Saccharomyces cerevisiae S288C: one gene and its partners. The gene in region 1 interacts genetically with each later gene. Each region holds a gene or a part of one and is shown in the gene's direction. Other genes may lie near its edges.

Evidence for each region.
Region 2: of NUC1 (region 1) and ATG8, changing one suppresses a phenotype caused by changing the other (phenotypic suppression), as found in Saccharomyces cerevisiae (one study listed by BioGRID).
Region 3: of NUC1 (region 1) and ATG15, changing one suppresses a phenotype caused by changing the other (phenotypic suppression), as found in Saccharomyces cerevisiae (one study listed by BioGRID).
Region 4: of NUC1 (region 1) and AIF1, changing one enhances a phenotype caused by changing the other (phenotypic enhancement), as found in Saccharomyces cerevisiae (one study listed by BioGRID).

The regions. Positions count from the first base shown.
Region 1 is NC_001142.9:38,824-44,886, reverse strand, and holds NUC1 (ribonuclease), read left to right. Parts: upstream 1-3,703; coding exon 3,704-4,693; downstream 4,694-6,063. Other genes in the region: AP-1 complex accessory protein LAA1, read left to right, coding at 1-3,498; CBP1 (Cbp1p), read right to left, coding at 4,918-6,063. UniProt on the Saccharomyces cerevisiae protein: This enzyme has both RNase and DNase activity.
Region 2 is NC_001134.8:78,751-83,781, reverse strand, and holds ATG8 (ubiquitin-like protein ATG8), read left to right. Parts: upstream 1-3,050; coding exon 3,051-3,404; downstream 3,405-5,031. Other genes in the region: isoleucine--tRNA ligase ILS1, read left to right, coding at 1-2,739; NUP170 (Nup170p), read right to left, coding at 4,015-5,031.
Region 3 is NC_001135.5:234,012-240,661, forward strand, and holds ATG15 (triglyceride lipase ATG15), read left to right. Parts: upstream 1-3,202; coding exon 3,203-4,765; downstream 4,766-6,650. Other genes in the region: GTPase-activating protein SED4, read right to left, coding at 1-2,311; peptidylprolyl isomerase family protein CPR4, read left to right, coding at 5,044-6,000; mitochondrial 54S ribosomal protein mL49 IMG2, read right to left, coding at 6,092-6,532. UniProt on the Saccharomyces cerevisiae protein: Lipase which is essential for lysis of subvacuolar cytoplasm to vacuole targeted bodies and intravacuolar autophagic bodies. Involved in the lysis of intravacuolar multivesicular body (MVB) vesicles.
Region 4 is NC_001146.8:776,529-782,293, reverse strand, and holds AIF1 (Aif1p), read left to right. Parts: upstream 1-3,555; coding exon 3,556-4,692; downstream 4,693-5,765. Other genes in the region: seripauperin PAU6, read right to left, coding at 14-376; YNR075C-A (uncharacterized protein), read left to right, coding at 691-783; COS10 (Cos10p), read right to left, coding at 1,254-2,378. UniProt on the Saccharomyces cerevisiae protein: Putative FAD-dependent oxidoreductase involved in the resistance to cercosporin and other singlet oxygen-generating photosensitizers. Translocates from mitochondria to the nucleus under apoptotic conditions, where it degrades DNA and induces apoptosis.

The DNA.
Region 1 (6,063 bases):
CCTCAGGTCACTACATCTTTAATCGACTCTTCTATGGAACTTTTTTCATCTGTATTCCCTTTTTTGAATAGCAAAATACAGTATTCCATTATGGAAACTTTAAATTTGTCCATGTTCTCCAAAATGACTACACCATTGAGAAGCGTGGCTGTGGCTGCTAATGTTTGTAGTGCTCTGCATAATGCTTTACGCATCATGCAAGAAAACAATCTAGAGTTGGACTATTCAGTGGGGCAGCTAATTATCGAATCAATAAAGAAGATTCAGTTTTTTAATGACATTTTTCTCACAAAAATCAAGGCAGATTGTGTAGGATTGCTGACAGCGGCTATCGCAAGAACACTTGGCGATGAAGAAAGACAAAAATTCCTTACAGAGCAATCAAGAATATTCATTAAAAACGTCGCAGATATGGACGAACCATACTTAAGGATGTTTCATGTCTTATCATTGGCTACAATTTTTAAATATAACTCACAATATGCTAATTTTGAAGAATACTTTGATGTAATTTTTGCATTAATGAGGGATCCACACCCTGTTGTTCATTCATGGTCATTGAAAGCAATGCATATTCTTCTTGAGAAACATTTAGTGATTGATTTAAAGACGGCAGCTCTGTTGCTAAGTTCTATGGAAGAGCTTTTGGTCCAGGATAAGTATGGTATTTACGGACGCTCTACTCTTCGCTGTAACTATAATAGGGACTTTAATTCTCACGTAGCAATCGGTGAAATTTCAAGGACATTGACTGAAACTGTGGGGCCAAATTTTCTAGAACTTAACACCAAGGTTCTTGATTCGTTCAGAAACATTACACTCTCCATGTTAATTTCAAATAATATTCTCAACAGCATAACCAGCATTAAAATGTTTGAAAACATAGCTACTTTTAAAATGAAAAACATTCTAAACTATGAAATCTTTATTCTTGCTTCTAAGAGCATAATTAAAAGTTCAATAGTGACTGGAATAGGCTCATCATATTTTGACACTACATTCACGGGCTCAAATGAACTCATTTCTCGAACTTCAAGTCTGAAAGGCGCCTTTGAAAACTTTGATTTATTGACGTTGTTGTACAAATTACAGATGGAGGAATTTTTCATGAAAGAAATGGAAAATTTGAGCTGGAGATATCTCGCACTTTTTCCAAATTCCGGTTCTGTCAAGAATTATTTTACCGAATGGATATTACATACTTTCAAAAGAGATAATCATTGGTTCGATAAATTATACTCAATATTTAATATGAGTTTAGGAAGACTCTTCCAAAGCTATAACAGAGACGTTTCAGCCCTACTAGAGGTAAATGGCCTAAAAAAATCTTCAGAAAAGGAAATTAAAGGCGAAGAAGAAGAATCAATAGCGAATGTTAACCAACTGACTGACACAGATGCTGGTGGTCTCGACTCTGAGAACCTGCAATGGAAGAGCAGACAGATTATCTTAAATTTAATATTAATGTTGTGCTTAGAATCCGAAAAATATGAAAATCTGCTCCTTGCCCTCAGCAACAAAATTGCAGATCTCATTAAAATATCATTTCGTGGATCTACAGTGAGGAATGAAGGCATGAAGTTAACGGGACTACACATTTTGAATTTTGTTCTCAAGAACTACTCCACCATGAGAGATCCTCAGGTTCCTGGATCGTCGATTTTAGAACAGCAAGAGGCCCAAATAACTAGCGCATTAATGCCTGCTTTTAGTAAAGGAAGCTCACCTACTGTAATGTCCTTTGCTATTACTGTTGCTGCTGAAGTGTTGGCATCGAATATAATGCCACCAGATAAATTGGGAAGAATTTCACAATTACTAATTGACCTTCTTGGTAACTTTAAAGATCCTAATTCCGGTATACGGATAGGGGAAGCTATAATCGTTACACCCAAAGCGAAAAGAAAAATTGAACTTGCCGTTTTGGATGCGTGGGCTGAGGTAGTGCAAAGATCCATCACGTCGTCAAATGATGCGCTTTTCTCTTTTACCAGGAAATATTGGAGCATTTTAGTCCCATTATGGATCATTTCTTTACGTGAATACATGATGATAAAGTATAACGATAATGATTCTACTGTGCAAGTAAAGAATGACTCGAAAGAAAATAGTCTCATTGAACCAAGAAGTACGAAAATTGAGTTATATGAACCGGTCTGGTTAAATTTCGTAGAGGCCCTTGGGTGCACTCTGGATTCAGACGTTCAAGTCATTTTGGCATCTCTTAACGATGAGGAATTAGAGTATTTTCTTTTTATTTTATTTAGCCAATGTTTGGAGGCTATCGTCAAAAATATTGATGATCATTCAGTCAAGATGCAAGTTTTACCGGCTTTACACAATGTTTTGAAGAGCAATCTGTGCATAAAAAGTATATTTGAGGATGATATTATTACTGAAGTTGTTGAGATTATGGACAGACTGATTTCTACAGGCGACAGTAAAGAAGAATTTTTGCTTGTTGATATCATCAGTGACTTGATCATTGGGTATTCGAAGTGTAATGCTACTCCTGAAACATTTCTACAAGATATTGACAAACTATATGAGCTACTGCGACTACTGATGACAATTATTTCTGAGAGGTTGCCATTTATTAAGTATAACGTGCTTACCAGCGAAGAAGATGATAATGAAATAAAAATCTCTCCCACAGATATTAGTCTGTTGAAAAAAACATTTATTGCGTTCGAATCAAATATCAGTAACTTCGACAATATGTTCAAAGTAGATCTTTATTCATGTCTTTTATTCATCATAGGGAAAATTTATGAATGTAGTCATCGTGAAGTAATAATTCCAATCATACTCCCACTTTTCAAGGCACTAGTAAAAGCGCTTACGGAATCTGAGGACGAAAAAAATATTGTGTTACTAGAAATATTCTACGGGTCAATAAAAGATGTTATTTATCATAAGCTGGATTCAAAGAATAAAGTTGCAACCATTTTGATCTTGCTGTCTAATGGATACTCTAAGCTAAGTTTTCAGGAACTGAATCAGTGCGCAAATATTCTCTCGGAGGCATTGAATAATCCTGCTACGCAGCCAATTGCTCTACAAGGCTTCAAGAGAATAATATCTAATATTTTCAAATACCCGTTGTTGCAGTATTTTATGAAGTTGGTTATAAAAAGATTCTTTCAAGATATTCAAACAAACGATTCCTTATCGCAGGCAAGCATTAAAACTAAGTTGATAATTCAGTTTTCCGAGGAAGTAATCAAACAAGATCACCAAAAGGCATCATTGTCAATTGCTTTATGTCTTTCTTTCTTTGCCGCATATCATAGCGCATATACAGAGAAAATAGACAACGAAGTAGCAAGTGGCATAGTTGCTTTGGCTAAATTGGACAAAAATTCATTTAAAGAAGCCATTTCTAGCACTATAAGTCCTCAACAAAAAGCAATTATAGGTTCCGTGATGGAGGCATACGTTAAATCGCAGTCTTTGGGCTCTGTCGAAGAGGCCTTTCAACTGAAATCTTTCGACTAATTGCAAGTCGGATGCATATGCACGGAAATAAAACTCATCGCGAAAAAAGAAAAAAAAAATAAAATCTGTGAAAAAATATCAATGGTGCAATTGGTTATTGGTCACTCATCAAGTAATTTGTTAGTTTTTATAGAGTTACAATTGTATAAAGATAAGAACATTTAGTTAAGTTCCCCACTTATTAGATCCCAAAGTTAAAGTTATCATGTGCAGTAGGATACTCTTGTCCGGTTTAGTCGGACTGGGTGCTGGTACTGGCTTAACCTATCTTCTTTTGAACAAACATTCTCCAACGCAAATCATTGAGACACCTTATCCACCTACCCAGAAACCTAATAGTAATATTCAATCTCACTCTTTCAACGTCGATCCTTCCGGGTTCTTCAAGTATGGTTTTCCTGGTCCGATTCATGATCTGCAGAACCGCGAAGAGTTTATCTCATGTTACAACAGACAAACTCAAAATCCTTATTGGGTCCTCGAACATATAACGCCAGAATCATTGGCTGCAAGGAATGCTGACAGAAAAAATTCCTTTTTCAAGGAAGATGAAGTAATTCCAGAAAAGTTTAGAGGTAAACTAAGAGACTATTTTAGGTCGGGCTATGATCGAGGCCATCAAGCCCCAGCTGCAGACGCAAAATTTTCTCAACAGGCCATGGATGATACATTCTACTTATCCAATATGTGTCCTCAAGTAGGAGAAGGTTTTAATAGAGACTATTGGGCGCATTTGGAGTACTTTTGTAGGGGATTGACTAAGAAATATAAGAGTGTAAGAATCGTGACTGGTCCATTGTATCTACCCAAAAAGGATCCCATAGATAATAAATTTAGGGTTAATTATGAAGTTATTGGCAATCCACCCAGTATTGCTGTTCCAACGCACTTTTTTAAATTGATTGTTGCAGAAGCACCAACAGCCAATCCTGCTAGAGAGGATATTGCTGTCGCGGCATTTGTATTGCCAAACGAACCGATATCAAATGAGACGAAATTGACTGACTTTGAAGTTCCTATAGATGCTTTAGAGAGAAGTACTGGGCTAGAACTTCTGCAAAAAGTACCACCTTCAAAGAAGAAGGCATTATGCAAAGAGGTAAATTGTCAAATTGTAGTGAGAGATTTCTCTAACGCGGCGATCAAACAATCGAAAGATGTGAAATTGTTACCTCCTCCAAAAAAAAGGAATTGAATGTACTGAAAAACTGTAAATATAAATTAATTCATAACACAACGATAGAATAGCATGAAAGAATATAACAAGTCTAACGCATATAACATAAAATAATACATTTATTTGATGATCAAAAAAAGAAAAGAATTAGGATGCAATGCTTGGATTTAGTATATATTTACAGAAATTTGTTTTGTTATTATTTGCTTTGTTATTTATATCGTAAATGTGCGTTTGGCCGTTCATCTTAAGTAACGTTTGACAGCCGACACACCATGCTTTTTAATATCTTGTATGATCTCCTTGTTTGTTTTGAACTCTGAATTTCTAATTTGATGTTTTAAGATGAAATTCCAGTCTAACTTCAATTCCTCAATCGTCATACCGTTCTGGTATAGTTCTGCGCACGCCCAAAGAAAAATGTCTGTTCTTCCTATCTGCAGTGCGCTTAATGCAATATTCCTTAAAATAGTAAACCTGTTTTGATTATTCACTTTTAATTTGACATCACATGGGGAGGATGCAATGAATGGGTTACAGTTCGATTTTGTCCAGTATGTTTTACTTCTCTTTGCAGCATTTATATAAAGTAGTTTTGCCAAATCGATATCCTTCTTGGCATTGGCAACAAATTTACCATCTCGCTTTTTATAATGACAAAGTTTTTTAATGTATAAAGCGGAAACCACATTCCAAAGAGAGTTTCTGTGGTCAGGATCAAAATCATGTGCCTTCGTCAACAAATCGTTTACAAGTGCCATCAAATTATCGGTGAACTTGACCTTTGAAGCCAATTTCCAATCAACTACTTCGTTAATTATTGACCCATAGGCTAACATTGCTTGTCCGGGGGGTATAGTATCGAGTAATTTGACTGCCTTAGCGATATGATCGAGGTTTTGTGTTTTGAAAAGGTGAATAATTATTGCTTGATAATTTTCTTGCGAAAGCGCCCTGAAATTTGTTGTTATTTGCTTCAAAACCCTATCTACACCGTTAGAATCGTTAAATTTCAAATGCATTCTTAGCAATGAAGAAAGACATCTCTTGTTAAGCCAGACAATATGATGGTTTTCGGGTAAAGTGTATCTGTTAATGTTCTGCATGAGTTCCTTGGCCATTGTTAAAGAGTCTTGCTTTGTAATGAAGTCAATAATTGCCGGTAATATCAAAGGGTTATTACAATAGTACTCTGGAGTTAATTGCCAAAACATTTCGCTACATATAGATCTATAGGCTCTATTATGGGTACAAATCTTGAAGACTTTATAAATGATTCTGGAATCATGTGCAGAAATGGAAACATAGTGCTCTTTGATTTTGTTCCAAATAGAATACACACTTGCAACATTTCCTCTTCTATAATTTTCATCAATGGACTTGTACGC
Region 2 (5,031 bases), on another chromosome or scaffold:
GCTTTCAAGCAACTTCATGAAAAAGGTCAAGTTTACCGTGGATTCAAAGTTATGCCTTATTCTACTGGCCTAACCACTCCCTTGAGTAACTTTGAAGCTCAGCAAAACTATAAAGATGTTAACGACCCAGCTGTGACCATTGGTTTCAATGTTATTGGCCAGGAAAAAACTCAATTGGTCGCATGGACTACGACTCCATGGACTTTACCTTCCAATTTGTCGTTATGTGTTAACGCTGATTTCGAATATGTAAAGATTTACGACGAAACCAGAGATCGTTATTTCATCTTATTAGAATCTTTGATTAAAACCTTGTATAAGAAGCCTAAGAATGAAAAATATAAGATTGTGGAAAAAATTAAAGGTTCTGATTTGGTTGGTTTGAAGTATGAACCATTGTTCCCATATTTCGCTGAACAGTTCCATGAAACAGCTTTTAGAGTTATTTCAGATGATTATGTTACTAGTGATTCCGGTACTGGTATTGTTCATAACGCTCCCGCTTTCGGTGAAGAGGATAATGCTGCTTGTTTGAAGAACGGCGTCATATCCGAAGATTCAGTGTTACCTAACGCCATTGATGACCTTGGTAGATTCACGAAAGACGTTCCTGATTTTGAGGGTGTTTATGTCAAGGACGCTGATAAGTTGATTATTAAGTACTTAACTAATACTGGAAATTTGTTATTGGCATCCCAAATTCGCCATTCCTATCCATTCTGTTGGAGATCCGATACCCCATTGTTATACCGTTCTGTTCCAGCTTGGTTCGTTCGTGTTAAAAACATTGTCCCTCAAATGTTGGATTCTGTGATGAAATCTCACTGGGTTCCTAACACCATCAAGGAAAAGAGGTTCGCCAACTGGATCGCCAATGCCCGTGACTGGAACGTTTCCAGAAATAGATATTGGGGTACTCCAATTCCTTTATGGGTTTCAGACGATTTTGAGGAGGTCGTCTGTGTTGGTTCTATCAAAGAATTGGAAGAATTGACCGGTGTGCGTAACATCACTGACTTGCATCGTGATGTCATTGACAAATTGACAATTCCATCCAAGCAAGGTAAGGGTGACTTAAAGAGAATTGAAGAAGTTTTTGATTGTTGGTTTGAATCTGGTTCTATGCCTTATGCTTCTCAACATTATCCATTTGAAAACACAGAAAAATTTGACGAAAGAGTTCCAGCTAATTTCATCTCTGAAGGTTTGGATCAAACAAGAGGTTGGTTCTACACGTTAGCTGTCTTAGGTACCCATCTATTTGGCTCTGTTCCATACAAGAACGTCATCGTCTCTGGTATTGTCTTAGCTGCCGATGGTAGAAAGATGTCTAAATCCTTGAAAAATTACCCTGATCCATCCATTGTTCTGAACAAATATGGTGCGGATGCATTAAGATTGTACTTGATAAACTCACCTGTTTTAAAAGCTGAAAGTTTGAAATTCAAAGAAGAGGGTGTTAAGGAGGTTGTTTCAAAGGTCTTACTACCATGGTGGAACTCCTTTAAATTTTTGGACGGTCAAATTGCCTTGTTGAAAAAGATGTCTAACATCGACTTCCAATATGATGATTCTGTGAAAAGTGATAATGTCATGGACAGATGGATTTTAGCTTCTATGCAATCTCTAGTACAATTCATTCACGAAGAAATGGGTCAGTACAAATTATACACTGTCGTTCCAAAACTTTTGAATTTCATTGATGAATTGACAAACTGGTATATTAGATTTAATCGTCGTCGTTTGAAGGGTGAAAACGGTGTTGAGGACTGTTTGAAAGCATTAAATTCTTTATTCGATGCCTTATTCACATTTGTCCGTGCCATGGCTCCATTCACCCCATTTTTGTCAGAAAGCATTTATTTGAGACTGAAGGAATACATCCCAGAAGCTGTCTTAGCAAAATACGGTAAGGACGGAAGATCAGTCCATTTCTTATCTTACCCAGTGGTCAAGAAAGAATACTTTGACGAGGCCATCGAAACTGCAGTTTCTAGAATGCAATCCGTTATCGATTTGGGTAGAAACATTCGTGAAAAGAAAACTATTTCCTTAAAAACTCCATTGAAGACTTTGGTCATCCTTCACAGTGATGAATCATACTTGAAGGATGTAGAAGCCTTGAAAAACTACATTATCGAGGAATTAAATGTTCGTGATGTTGTTATCACCTCCGATGAGGCAAAATATGGTGTTGAGTATAAAGCAGTTGCTGATTGGCCTGTATTGGGTAAGAAGTTGAAAAAAGACGCAAAGAAGGTTAAAGATGCCCTACCATCAGTCACTTCTGAGCAAGTACGGGAATATTTGGAAAGCGGAAAGTTGGAGGTTGCCGGTATTGAACTGGTTAAAGGAGATTTGAATGCTATTAGAGGCTTGCCAGAATCTGCTGTCCAAGCTGGACAAGAAACCAGAACCGACCAAGACGTGTTAATCATCATGGATACAAATATTTACTCTGAACTAAAGAGTGAAGGTCTCGCAAGAGAGCTGGTCAACAGAATCCAAAAATTGAGAAAGAAGTGTGGTTTGGAAGCCACCGACGATGTTTTAGTGGAGTACGAATTAGTTAAAGATACTATCGACTTTGAAGCCATTGTCAAAGAACATTTTGATATGTTAAGCAAGACCTGTAGATCCGACATTGCCAAATATGACGGCTCAAAGACAGACCCAATTGGTGATGAAGAACAATCTATTAATGACACCATTTTCAAATTAAAAGTGTTCAAATTATGAAAACAACTCATATAAATACGTACAAATTTTTCTCTACTCGAAGTGATATAGATGTATATGTGTAAGTTTACGTTTAAGTTAGAGTCATGTAATGCTAACTGTCTCCACCGATAATGTTGTATAATACCCGTGAAATCATAGCACATGATATATCATCACCCGGAGGCCGGTTATTTTCGGCGGCGGCAAAAATATTTGGTATAATTATGGAAATACAAAAAGGGGAACCATTAAAGGTTGAGGAGGGGATTGATAAGAGAATCTAATAATTGTAAAGTTGAGAAAATCATAATAAAATAATTACTAGAGACATGAAGTCTACATTTAAGTCTGAATATCCATTTGAAAAAAGGAAGGCGGAGTCGGAGAGGATTGCTGACAGGTTCAAGAATAGGATACCTGTGATTTGCGAAAAAGCTGAAAAGTCAGATATTCCAGAGATTGATAAGCGTAAATATCTAGTTCCTGCTGACCTTACCGTAGGGCAATTTGTTTATGTTATAAGAAAGAGAATTATGCTACCCCCTGAGAAGGCCATCTTCATTTTTGTCAATGATACTTTGCCACCTACTGCGGCGTTGATGTCTGCCATATATCAAGAACACAAGGATAAGGACGGGTTTTTGTATGTCACTTACTCAGGAGAAAATACATTTGGCAGGTAGTCTTTTATATGAAAAGAAATGAAGCGTTAACATCTAAAATCGAAATTATAGGGACTCATTAGCCATCTATTGTTCCAGTATAAGAATGTTTACATAAAAAATTCGAAAAAAAAAGATAAAATAAGGGAAAAATATATATATATTCATTAAGAAGTTTTGTACACAACGGAGCCAAGATTTCACCAGTATTTGGAGACAAATGTGAGCACGTTATGGTATTTACTTACAGATTACGATCTGTTCAATGCATCAGAAATAGGAAGAAATTCAAAATAAAATAAAAAAAATATTAGGAAGGAGTGAAAAAGCAAATAAGATGATACAGTAAGGTGGAGTTAATGTCTTTCTTCTCCAAAATGTATTCTTGCTAACCAAAAATCTGATTCTCTCTGACCTGTTCGTTTGTCTTATGTATGTAGAATCAATTTCTTACAGAATTTTAAATACTGTATAGTGGAAAAGAATAATAAATAAATACTCGACTATATTTACCTTTATCTTAAGGAAAAGTTCACTCGATATTCTTAACTTTACCGTCTAGTAAGGCCTCTTTATTACATTAAAATATACACGTACATTACCCTGCTATCTATATGTCGAACATGAATTTTTATTCTTTGTAGAAACAAATCCCCAAATTATTGCCGCTGTTCTTAACGTACTTTTCAATTGGATCATTATCAATTTTGTATTCCTTCAAGTGAATGATATCGTTGTAGGAAATAATGTCCCTAAATTTCCTGTCCGATTTGTACCATTCGTGAATTAACCAGGTCATTTCTTTATTAAATACGGAATTATCGGAATCTGATGTCTCGATTAGTTCTTTTAAAATATAGTACATTTTGTTGAAAGAAACACCCGCTGTTATGAATATAGAAACTATCGACCCTGATACAATATGTTCCTTAGGTAGTGTTTCGTAGAAAAAATTACAGACAATGGGAAAGAGTTCGAAAATGGGGAAAATGAATTCAGAATCCTGAACATTTTTACCAATTTTAATCAGTACATTAGACAGTAAGTTGATGAAGTTCATTGAATCTTCTTTCTTTCCGGTATTATTAAATTCCATCCTCAAAGATTGGAATAGCTCATCCCACTTGGCCATAATTACTTCATGGTCCCTAAAATCTGCTATCTTGAAAATGAATAGGGCAATTTCATGGTAACTTAAGGGTACAGCAAAATCATTAAACAGCTCACTTGTGCTCAATATTTTACCATCTAGAGTTTTGATCAGCTCATCTTTAATGGCTGAATCTATTCTTGCGTCTGTATACACGAGCGACAATATATCACCTTGAATACCAGCAACTTCACATGCATCTTGGATCCTACTAGCTAATTGTACAATTCTTTGTTTCTGGCTTAATGGTGACACACTGTTGCAAAAACCATTGGCGCGTGAAAGAAACTCAATTCTTTCAAACAATGTGATGTCAAAATTCGATGTAGCTAAACGGTAAAGAATTTCAGCAGATTCGAAAAATTTAGATCTTCTTGAATAATAGACCCAGAGTATATTAGATATCTTCAATGAACTACCTGCCTTTTCCATTAAATAAGGGAGTATGAATGGAGTTTCAATATCTAATAGTTTTTCCTCTCTGTTCTGAGACACAAG
Region 3 (6,650 bases), on another chromosome or scaffold:
AAGGGATTGATTCAGAAGCAAGAACAGAAGAAGTTACAGTCGATACTTCTATTGACTGGAAGCCAGAGGTTATAGATGAATCAGAAAATGTACTCGGATGCGAGGAAATAGAGTCCTGGGATGCTGATGTTGACAAAATTTCTTCATTTGGGATCAAATTAGACGCAACTGAGTCAAATTCGGATGCTATAGAAATAGAATGCGTAGGTGTTTCAACCATACGCTCTAATTCTGATGCTATGGGATCAATTTCGGAGACGGGCGAAGAAACCATAGTGTCTGTGGGCGTCAACAACATTGAAGAAGATGTTGTAACATACTGCTCGGCTTCTGCATTGGAATCTGATGCAGGTATATTCCTATACTCAATTTTTGTAATGACTTCAGTGATTATTTTTGTCTTATAAATCTCTCTCGTGGATGCCGGTTTTGAGTTGTCTAGAAAAGATGTGTTGGCTGCATCATTGGTGGGGTTTGTTTGTGTGGTGGTAACCGCAGTCGCGGTACTTGTGGATAATGCTGTAGTAGGGCTAGTTGTTAACGATGAGGAAAGAGATAATGAAGATGAAGATGAAGACGGCATGTGTGATAGCGAAGGTGATTCAGTACTTAAGAGTTTTGAAACGCTTTCTCTATCTGTTGTTATTTCGCTTTCTGATTGTTCTACTATTAACGAGGACAATTTCTCCTCCAAGTCAGGAGTCGGCTCAGGATATTCTGTGATAGAATTTGAAGATGAGGATAACAAATCTATCGACTCTGAATTCAGTGGAAGCGATGGTTTTTCGACAATATTCGGTTCTGTAGGAGAGGCTAGCGGCTTCGTAATTTCAGAGGTAGGTGAAGACACAATTGGTTCATTAGTGACACTCTCTTCATAGAAAGAAGAAGAAGAAGAAGAAGAAGAAGAAGAAGCTGATGTTGGGATATCTGCAGAAGTGAATTGTGAATCAGCTGATGACGATATCCAAACAAATTTTTGCTCATCTTCTGTGGTGGTTCTCATAGTGCTAGTGTCAAATGAGGAAAATTCAGTCTCTATATCGCTAGCAACATCTGTAGCGCTGATGATATCTGCACTTTCAGTAATGCCTCTGTAATCGTCATTAATAGTGAAATAAGAAGAAGATCCTTGGTCTATGGTAGTGTTTTCCTTGAATTTCGACTTATATATATCATGAGCATGTTTGTAAATAAAGCCGTGCACATTATGTTTGTAGCCTAGTTGAATAGCGCCAGCCAAAACCACTAACAAAACAAAATTCAAGAAAAATTTCCAAATATTTCGTAAAATTGATGACGATGTACCGGAAAGCTTCAGAACGTTGATCGTGTTCCCCATAGAAGTGCTTGCCAAATATCTAGAATCTGGAGAAAAAGTAACTTTTGTTATAGTAGATTCATGTACTCTTGGAACCAACTGAACAAGCTTTAGCTTTTCAACGCTGACGATGGCAACCAAGTTATCGTTAGATGATAATGCAACGAACTTCTTATTTGGGGAGACATCCATCGATGTTATTCCATTCAAATCGAACATGAAGGATGCTGTTTTTAAAATTTTAACACCTTTGGAACTCACACCTAGTTTTAACAAGGAAACTCCATCAGAGTTCGATAATGATGCTGCCACTAATAGCGTATTGTCATTGAGAAACCTGATATTAGAAAGAACAAGATTTTTATCAAAATCCGTTTTCCTTGCTACAAAATTTCCGTCCCTAACAGACGCTACTTCCAAAGAATTAGAAGTGATATATGACAAAAGAATACCGTTAGGGGCGAAGTGCAAATCATTAACTTCCCTACCCGTTTCAATTTCGTAATTTTCCGTCAAATTACGCGGGTCAATGATTCTTATCACAGTGGGCACTTCAGAGGACGCAATTGCAGCTACTGTGGCCCTTTGATTAATGTAAACAAACTTAGTGAAAACGGATGGGTCTGTAGTTCTGTTGAAATCAATACTGGCCACGAATTTTAGATGTTCTTGTTCAAACACAAACTTCCTCAAGTGGTGGTTAACGTTCTCCATGGAGGAATCATTAAACAGTTCATTGCAACCAACTAGAATCAGGTTATTATTACAATCCAATGAAGTGGGCGCATCGTCAATCGAATCTAATGTGATCTCACGAAACCTTCTAATGTGTTTCTTTTTCTGGAAGTTCACCTTTAAAGCTGTAATTTTGTTTGGAAACGAGGAATTGAACTGGCCTCCACCACCAGCCACCAGTAGAGTGCCTTCATTTATAAATTTAGCACCATATATCGGATATCCGACGTCATAGTTTGCAGAGTTGCCACTCATTATTATGCTAGTTTTTCTAAGTTTAAAAGGAGAGAAAAAAAAGGAAGAGAGGACGTATCGTAGGGAATTGTGATGCTTGTTGACAAACAGCCTCCGTCGATCGAAGCAGCTATAAGCGTAGGTTACTTGAAGCGTTCACAGTTCTCATTTACACTGTACAATTCTCGAGATATAAATGAAAATTACTACAACCAAGAAAAAAGGACAGGAGGGCTAAAAGGATAATAAAATAGGGCAGTTACAAATGTGGTCAAAAATACTAGGGCTCAAAATTGCTAAGTAAGGGCTTGACAGATGTAACATAATACGAAATAAACTGGATATCGTTTAATAATTATCAAGGTGATTTAAATCGTAAATACATAGGCTGGGCCATATACACTAACATGTGTCGTGACCAATGTGCAGCAGATAGACTTGCTCATTAAATATATTCCAGGTAGGATTCTCTAAGGGTTTTTTTTTTTCTCTATAGCTGTCACTTTTTTTTTTTTCTCTTATCAATCACAGATATAATAAGCATAACATCGGAAAGAAAATAATGATAGGGCAAAAGGGAAAGCATTTCCAGTTGAATACAGTATCTCTACTATATTGTTGTTCGCTGAAGACAGCCGTTTCCGGAAAAAAGTGATTGTGTGATCGCAGTTACCCGCACCTTTGTTCAACAGTACATAATAAGAATCTGTAGATATAGATGAACTTTCTCTATTACATAAGACTAGCCTAAAAGCCTTGTTTCTATCATTTAAAGGCTTTTGAGACACTCAAATCAGTGTCAACCTTTTGGATAAGTCAAAGAAAGTACGCCGCTGCTCAGAAAATTGTTATCGTGATTGAGAACTGATCTAGGCATTACAATTAAAGGAAACAAGGGAAATATTCTATTGAATGTTGCATAAAAGCCCTTCAAGAAAGAGATTTGCTTCTCCTTTGCATCTAGGATGCATTCTAACGCTTACAGTGCTCTGCCTTATTGCTTACTACTTTGCTTTACCGGATTATTTATCGGTAGGGAAGAGCTCATCCAGGGGTGCCATGGATCAAAAATCTGATGGAACCTTTAGACTTAAGTCTATCTACAGGCATGGCGTCGGAGCAAACCATCGGCTACACCAGAGGCTGGAGGTCACTCCAGAAGTTATTTCTGCCGCTGGAATGCTGTATCAAGAAACCACAACTCAAGGACAGGATTTCGAAGACCAAGAACCCCTATGGACTACTAATGCCGAATATGCCACCACTAACCCATTCGATTTTGAGTTTGAGCTACGAAGGATGCCGCTATTGATGAAGCGGATGAAGGAAAGAGATCCTGAATTCATAGAGTCGTACATTTACGGAGAAACATACATGACGGAGGAGGAAGAACACGCCATGTGGATAGATGATGACATTGTGGCACCCAATATCACAGATAGAGGTACAGTAGTGTCGTTAGCATTAATGTCGTCTAATGCTTACGTGAGAATACCGCAAACGGGAGACTGGCGTAACGTCACGGAGCCGTGGAATGAAACAGAGCCGGAAGATTTTGGTTGGGATGGTGATGGTATACGTGGTCACGTCTTTTACAATGAAGTGGAGAATATCGTGGTACTCTCGATAAAGGGAACCAGCGCTCAGGGTTTGCCAGGGTCTGGCGAAGATGAGACAACTGGAAACGACAAGATCAACGATAATTTGTTATTTTCGTGTTGTTGTGCAAGAGTGAGCTACCTGTGGACTACCGTGTGCGATTGCTATGTGAAGTCGTATATATGCGATGAGTCTTGCCTGGAAAAGGAACTGAGACGTAAGGATAGATTTTACTCTGCAGTCGTTGACATATACAAAGGCGTCCTCAAAGAATACCCCGATGCGGCCATATGGGTCACAGGCCACTCACTGGGAGGCGCATTGGCCAGTTTACTGGGCCGCACTTTTGGATTGCCTGCGGTCGCATTCGAGTCCCCTGGAGAGCTACTACCTTCAAAAAGACTTCACTTACCATTCCCACCGGGACTTCCCTCATACATGGAGGGTATCTGGCACTTCGGTCACAACGCAGACCCAATCTTCATGGGTACATGCAACGGAGCTAGTTCAAGTTGCTCACTGGTGGGCTACGCTATGGAAACCGCGTGCCACACTGGTAGAGTCTGTGTCTACGATGTGGTCAACGACAAGGGCTGGAGTGTAAACATGTTCAACCACAGAATCCACAAAGTCATTGACGAAGTTCTCCTTGGATACGAGCAGGCTGCCAAGTGCGTTGAACCAGAGCCCTGCGTAGATTGCTACAACTGGAAGTTTATTCCAAGCAGAGACTGGGAATCCTCATCGAGGCTCATTACCAAGACTAAAAGCCACGCTGCACCAACCACGACGACTCGCACCACTGCTACTACTACCTCTTCATCTACCTGTGTAGGCCGCAATTGGCTTGGCTTCTGCACCAAATACGAGTTGTAAGACCCATACATCTATTATGACCCTAGTGTTGTTTTAGGGCCTATGCGCCCTTTTTTTCTTCCATTGTCTGATAAATAATGTATCATTTTGACAACTTAAAGGTTCAGCTAAACGACACGAGAAGATATATTAATACTGCTTTAAAGTGAAAGGCGTCAGTCAGGTGCAATTAATAGGTCACATATTCTTTGCTTCAATTGCTCTCTAGCAAACTCACACACTCGTAGATTGGAAGACCGAAGAAAATAGATAGACTTTCGAATAAGTTCAGCAACAACATGTGGTTGAAATCCTTGCTGCTCTGCCTGTACTCCTTAGTACTCTGCCAAGTCCACGCTGCACCTTCATCAGGGAAGCAGATTACCTCCAAGGATGTTGATCTTCAGAAAAAATATGAGCCCAGTCCCCCCGCCACACATCGTGGAATAATCACTATCGAATACTTTGATCCCGTTTCGAAGTCGATGAAAGAGGCGGATCTGACTTTTGAGTTGTACGGTACTGTCGTGCCCAAAACTGTGAACAACTTTGCTATGCTGGCCCATGGTGTTAAGGCAGTTATCGAAGGGAAAGATCCCAATGATATACATACTTACTCGTACCGTAAGACCAAAATCAACAAGGTTTACCCTAACAAGTATATCCAGGGTGGTGTGGTTGCCCCAGATGTGGGTCCTTTCACCGTCTATGGGCCCAAATTTGATGACGAAAACTTTTACTTAAAACATGACAGGCCTGAAAGACTCGCAATGGCCTATTTTGGACCTGATTCTAACACCTCGGAATTCATCATCACCACTAAAGCCGATGGAAATGAGGAATTGGATGGCAAAAGTGTCGTGTTTGGTCAAATAACTTCTGGTCTAGATCAACTAATGGATGCTATTCAATACACAGAAACAGACGAATATGGAAAGCCTCAGCATGAATTACGGTTCCTGTATTTCGTTCTAGAAATCTTAAAAATTAGTAACATCTTAGATTTGCACGCTGCGTACACAGAAAAAGTCGAGAAGTTTAGAAATGGCGATGTGTCTGTTGGCTCCACTTTGGAAAACATCTTCCGTAACGATAAAGCCTACACACCTTTAACCACCTCCACTGGAACCACCGCCTATGATTTAAACCACCCAATTTCCAGAGCCTTGATGTGTTTAACTGTTCTTGGCCTTTGTTTCATTGCCTACAAGGGCATGCACGAAAAGCCTCATACGGTTTCATTAAGACACAAGTAAGCAACTTCTTTTCGATGGCTTGATGACCACATGGCTATGATTTTAATTAATATATATACATGACAATTATTTTTTTATACATTAGCGATACCTAAAATTTCTTGGTTAATACCCTTTTGACAGCCTCTACTGCATTGCCCTTGATAATAATTTTTTTCGATTGCATCACCACAGACCATGATTTTTTGGGTATGAAAGGCAGTTGCTCCTGCAAGTCATTTCTTAGTTGAATTACATCTCCTTCAATCTTTCTGATCTCCGTGATAATCTTGTTACCTCCATTTTTATAAGCGGAATACACCGGTAGATTTCCGGTCCTGCTTCTCTCCACGTAGTAGGTCTTTTTACCAAAATTGTTGTTTCCTATGAGCTCATGCATCTTCACGTCTTCCAGCTTTGGAAATATTGGCGCCTCAGCAGCTTTATTTGAATTAGTGGATATACATCTTATCGTTTGGTATATCGAGGCAGTGGCAGGCCCTGGAAGGCATTTACCCCTACCAAAACATCTAGTAACACACGAACTGATCATAGTTTTGCTCACACGCTACCTTGGAGTAAGTTGCTTTAGGTAAACGGGCACTTCTTTCAAAAGGTTTTCCTTCTTGCTGGAGCTATACTGCTTATAGTACCATATTTTAAATTCATAC
Region 4 (5,765 bases), on another chromosome or scaffold:
AAGGCATCACTCCCTAGTTTGCGATAGTGTAGATACCGTCCTTGGATAGAGCCTTGGAGATAGCTGGCTTTAATCTGGTGGAGTACCATGGGACACCGGTTATCATTCTGGTCACTTGGTCTGGGGCAATACCAGTCAACATGGTGGTGAAGTCACCGTAGTTGAAAACGGCTTCAGCAACTTCGACTGGGTAGGTTTCAGTTGGGTGGGCGGCTTGGAACATGTAGTATTGGGCCAAGTGAGCTCTGATATCAGAGACGTAGACACCCAATTCAACCAAGTTGACTCTTTCGTCAGATTGAGCTAGAGTGGTGGTTGCGGAAGCAGTAGCAGCGATGGCGGCAACACCAGCAGCGATTGAAGTTAATTTGACCATTGTATTTGTTTTGTTTGTTAGTGCTGATGTAATCTTAACAAGAAATAGTGAAATGAAAGCGCATACCTCAAAGGCATATAGTTGAAGCAGCTCTATTTATACCCGTTCCTCCATCTGTTATCACTACTTAAACGATTCGTTAACAGATGCTCATTTAGCACCTCACATATTCTCCATATCTCATCTTTCACACAATCTCATTATCACTATGAAGATGTTCTTGTTTTTGAACGAATCATACATCTTTGATAGACTTCGTATGTGGAGTACTGTTTTATGGCACTCATGTGTATTCGTATGCGCAGAATGTGAGAATGCCAATTATAGGGGTGCCGAGGTGCCTTGAAAACCCCTTTTGCGCGCCTGCGAAGTTTCCGCTTTCGGTCAAAAAGAAAATCCGAATTTAGATTTAAGACCCTCGTTCAGAAGCTTATTGTCTAAGCCCATATTCAGTCTGCTCTAAACGGCTTCCATGGAAGTAATATTTCTATCTCTTGAAATCCGTACAAGATATTAGACGTGTGTTGGGAGTCGTATACTGTTGGCGTCTGCAAATTCGTGAATTCTCCGCGAATGCCTTGGTGCAATTACGTAATTGTAGCCGCTGAAGGCGGATGGTTTTGAGAGAAGTTGATGTTCAAAGAATCGTGTATGATAAAAAAGAATGTAACCAGAAGCAGGATTAAAACTCGACGCAGAGGAAAATATTTGATTCCGAGATGTAACCCCCCCTTTTCTAGCCAGATATGAAGGAGAAAAGTGTAAGGGCAATAGATGGCGCTAATTTATTGAATCCAATTTTAAAAATGTTCTCTAGGAAAAATATTAATAGTTGATCCTCCTTGTAGCTTCTAAGTCAAAATAAATGTTTCTATCTTTATGGTAACGGCTCATAGTTACAGCTCAATTGCGCTTCTTGAATGTATTTCCAAAGTTCAACGTTTAATGATCTAGGCGACGCAGATTTTTTTGAGAACAAAAGGCTACTAAAGTTCCGTTCAAAGAATGCCTGACAATCAGTCCCATCAAAGAAAAACTCTTCGTTTTTCCAGACCCTCTTTTCAAATAATCGTGTATTCGTTTTCCTTGCAATTGTATCCCATTTTTCAGGGCTAGCACCCTGCTCGTTTATAATATCTGATAGGTACTGCATTTTATCATCAACTTTCATCGATTTAGGCCTTATGTTTTGAAAATCATCTATCATTCTAAAGAAAATGTCTATTAGCCAATAAGATACCAAGCATGCTGGTGATAAATTTGCACAAATAAAGAAGTCAGACATATCAGGAAGGAAGTCTAGTGGAGAGAAAGAAATCCTGATTCTCTGGCAACTCCATGCTAGCTTGCAGCGATAGGTTTCCTTAGGAAGCTTGACATTTTCCAACATAGTAAGTTTGCATTCCTTCTTACCATGGATCAACCTCCACTGTGCGTTTACTTTTGTAAAATAAACCTGCACCGCGTCTTCGGTGTAAGGGACCAAAATCTCAATTGAACTGAACCTAGGATCTTCGTTTTGTCTCCTCAAAACAGCTGGCTCTAGAATGGTTTTCCTGAATGCTTCTTGGCAGTCAGTACCATTAAAAAAAAAATGTGCAGTTTTCCATGCTTTGTTTTCATACAAGTAGGAATTGAAATGTATTGCAACAGCGTCCCAATCAGCAGAGTATGCACCTGGTGCACTTTTGATGATTTCTTTAGAAAGCTGGGTGAGTTGATTTGATAAAGTATATTTACTGTACTGTATTTGAACTACTGGCAAAATAGCAATTAGCGCCAGGATTAGAACTACTGAAGTCAGAAGGGGATAAAACCAAGTACTGGCCATCCCCCACCAAACGGCAAGCGGTAACCATGATAGCGACCAGATCCAAAATCCTGAGTTGCGAATCTCACTGCACAACCATGTTAAACGGTTTCTGAAAATATCCTCGGGCAAACAAAAGCTACTATGGGTCTCAAGACCTTTAGAGGACAAAAGTCTAATCTCTTCCCCCATATTCAATATAGTGTATTTCACATTAATGTTATGAGGTACGTAACAAGTTTACTGAGGTTTAATCACTCGCAGTGTTTTTTATATAATTCGCAAGATGAAATTTGTTGACAGCGCGTTCATCACGCAGCTGTTGAGTTTTATAGTTAAAGCCACGATCAAAAAAAGAGCAACAGCTTCGAGCAGTTTCGAGTGAAAGAGAATCTATGTTGGTTTATGTTCCGGAAGCACGGGAGAAATGGACTTCACTCAAGTACCCAAGTTATCACTAAAATGTAAGTCAATGTATGTTTACAGATACGAGCTGCGATGTTTTATAATACATGGTACACAATAGGTGAAGTATTGTGGCTTATTTTTGAATTATCAAACAATGTAATAGCTTTCCAAAGCATACCATATAACTCCTATGAATTAAGCGGCGGTCTCATTATAAAGTCGGGACACTTTTTGGTCAAAGCTCTCGATTAGTTTTTGAATACTGTGCAAAGTCTTTAATGATATTGTCATCAGTTCATAATCGAATTCTCTGGTACATTTTTTCTTATTTTATTGATCAATGTTAATGTCAGTTTGCTGGCTCTTGTTTTTTTTTTTTTTTTTTTTTTTTGACTGTTAGTTAAGTTGCCCAGCTAAGCTTACTCAATGAGTTAAGTATTTATTTTCATATTTTCATCATAAAATACTGCGCTATCTCGTGCCCTCGTCTCTTATACAATAGGCAGTACTTGACTAGAATCTAGGAGTGCTTTTCCTGAAACTCTCTATAATAACAACCCATCTCCCGCCGATTGTATAGTGAGCCAAGTGTTCTCATAATGGGGGTCTTGAAGAAGACTTCAATGGTGTCTCATAGTAGCAGTACTAGTAGTGCTAGGAAGATGAGCATTGTACAGCTTACTTTTCGTTATTAGTGATACATGACTGAGTGATTGTAGTTGGTAATACTGGATTAGTAATCGTTAAAAAGCGATAAAAATTAATTGAATGTCCACCCTGCATGATTAGTCCTTTTTATCTGGCTGGACAAATGAAGCCTATTATAAGTATTAATATATTAGCTGCTGCAGACTAGAAACGAAAGCAGTGATAAATCATTGATAGACACACATTTCCTCATCGTTGTTCTTCATTATTTACAGGAAAGAGCAGAGAAAGGAAGAAAGAAATTGCAAAATATATGACAATTAACACAAAGAACATAGTTGTTGTTGGTGCTGGTGTGTTTGGTGTGTCTGTGGCAAATCACTTGTACAGGGAACTGGGTGGGACATACGCAATAAAGCTCGTCACAGCATCTAATTATGTGTATTTTCTACCCTCAGCTGTCCGTTTGACGGTTTCAAAGGATTATACCAAGTCGATCCTGCCGTTAAAAAATGTTCTTGATAGTGGTATTGAAGTTATCAAAGATACGGCTGCCAGCTTTGATGATAAGGAGGTAGTTTTGGGGTCAGACAGGGCCATAAAGTTTGATATCTTGGTTCTTGCAACTGGCTCAAAGTGGGCTGATCCAATTGGTTCAACTTATACCTTCGGGGATAACTATAAAGAGTATTTTGAAAGAGAGGCTTCTCGAATCTCAGATGCAGATCACATACTTTTTCTTGGCGGTGGCTTTGTTAATTGTGAACTAGCTGGTGAATTGTTATTCAAGTATTTGGAGGAGATCAGGTCTGGCAAAAAGCGTATTTCCATTATTCATAATTCCGATAAGCTACTGCCGGACTCTGGGTTATACAACGATACCCTAAGAAAAAATGTGACAGACTATCTCTCAAAAAATGGTATTACGTTGTACTTGAACACAGTAGGGGCTTCTTTAGACACCTCGCCGAAACGTATTTTTCTAGGTGAGGGCTCATCTAAATATATAGATGCTGATTTGATTTACAGAGGCGTTGGTATTTCTCCAAATGTGCCGGTCAACAGTATTTCAGACCTTTGTGACAAGAAAGGGTTCATTCAAGTTGAAAAAAACTTCAGGGTAAAAGCTGTTGAGGCAGGAAACGTTTTTGCCATTGGTGATGTAACGAATTTTAGATATCACGGATTGGTTAAAAGAGATAATTGGGTTGATGTTTTGACCCGAAATGTTATAAGTTCTTTACAAGAAGGAACAGAGGCTAGTCTCGTTGATGCAGATTGTCTTGAGACAGGACATGCCCCAAGTGGTGTCTCCCTTGGGCCAAATGCAGGGTTTGGCCAATTTCCACTACCGTTACTTGGGACGATTAATATTCCATCGTTTTTAATTTCTAGAGCAAAGTCGAAGAATCTTTTCTCCGACAAAATGGAACCTTTATTCAAAAAATAGACTAAAATATGAACTGCAGCGTATATATATATATATATATATATATATTAGTTTCTGTATTGTGAAACAAAGAAGGCCGCTGGAAACAACAAATGTTGAACTTCGCATTCAGATAATAATCTATTAAAACCCGAAGTTACTCGAAAATGTTAGCTTTGGATTCTCACACTATATGTAGTTTCTTTGACAGTAGTAAAACGGTATTACACCTGTGCATTAGAGTTATCAATCGCTTGATAACAATTTGACATTTTGGAGGGTCCATGAAGATAGGTACTGATTTTACTCGAAGTGTGAATGTTTTATACCGAAGTTTTGTTATATAGAGATACAGATATCAACAGGATTGACCACCTTCTTTTTTAAACCTAGTATAATGGGGACGGTGAGAATTAACAGTTAAGGTATAGGCGTGATGCCATGGGAGGGGCAAATACGGAACTGGAGTAAAGTATTGTGTGGTTTAGGTGCTGGGAAAAAGAAAGCATTAGAATGCTCAATAAAACAGCGGCTTCCCGCATAATATTTTTTTGATTATTTCATTCCGAGAAAGGCCGATATATGCAGAGGCTACGTGTTGCTTGCCAACTTCAGTATACTTTGCTTGCCACTACCAGAAATTGACCCCGGGAACTTTATTTTTTAAGTGCCTAAAACTTATTTTCCTGCAGGGCGCGCAATAAATAAGGGATATAGCAAAACTTGAAACGTGGGGTAGTTTCGTGCCTTCTTATGTGCCTATCTTGATTTTTGCCTTTGTACCTGAGTCTCCTTACCCCGCGATACCCCACCGTATAGTCACTTTCCCTTGGCACGGGCTAAAATGACCGTAGGATGAGCTCAGCAAACAGTTCATTCCACGTACACTTTTCTTTTATTTTTAGCTCGCCACTTTTTTGATTCAACACTCCCCCCCATGATACGTCATTTTATAAACTTTTCGTGCGGACGTGAACCAATTAAGCTTGCGCATCAGTGGTGGATATATGGACGGATACCTCGTATATTCTGCTGTGGTGGTCGGAGAGGGCATCGCAAAGTCTAGAAATAATCAAGAATCACTTTTAGCGTTT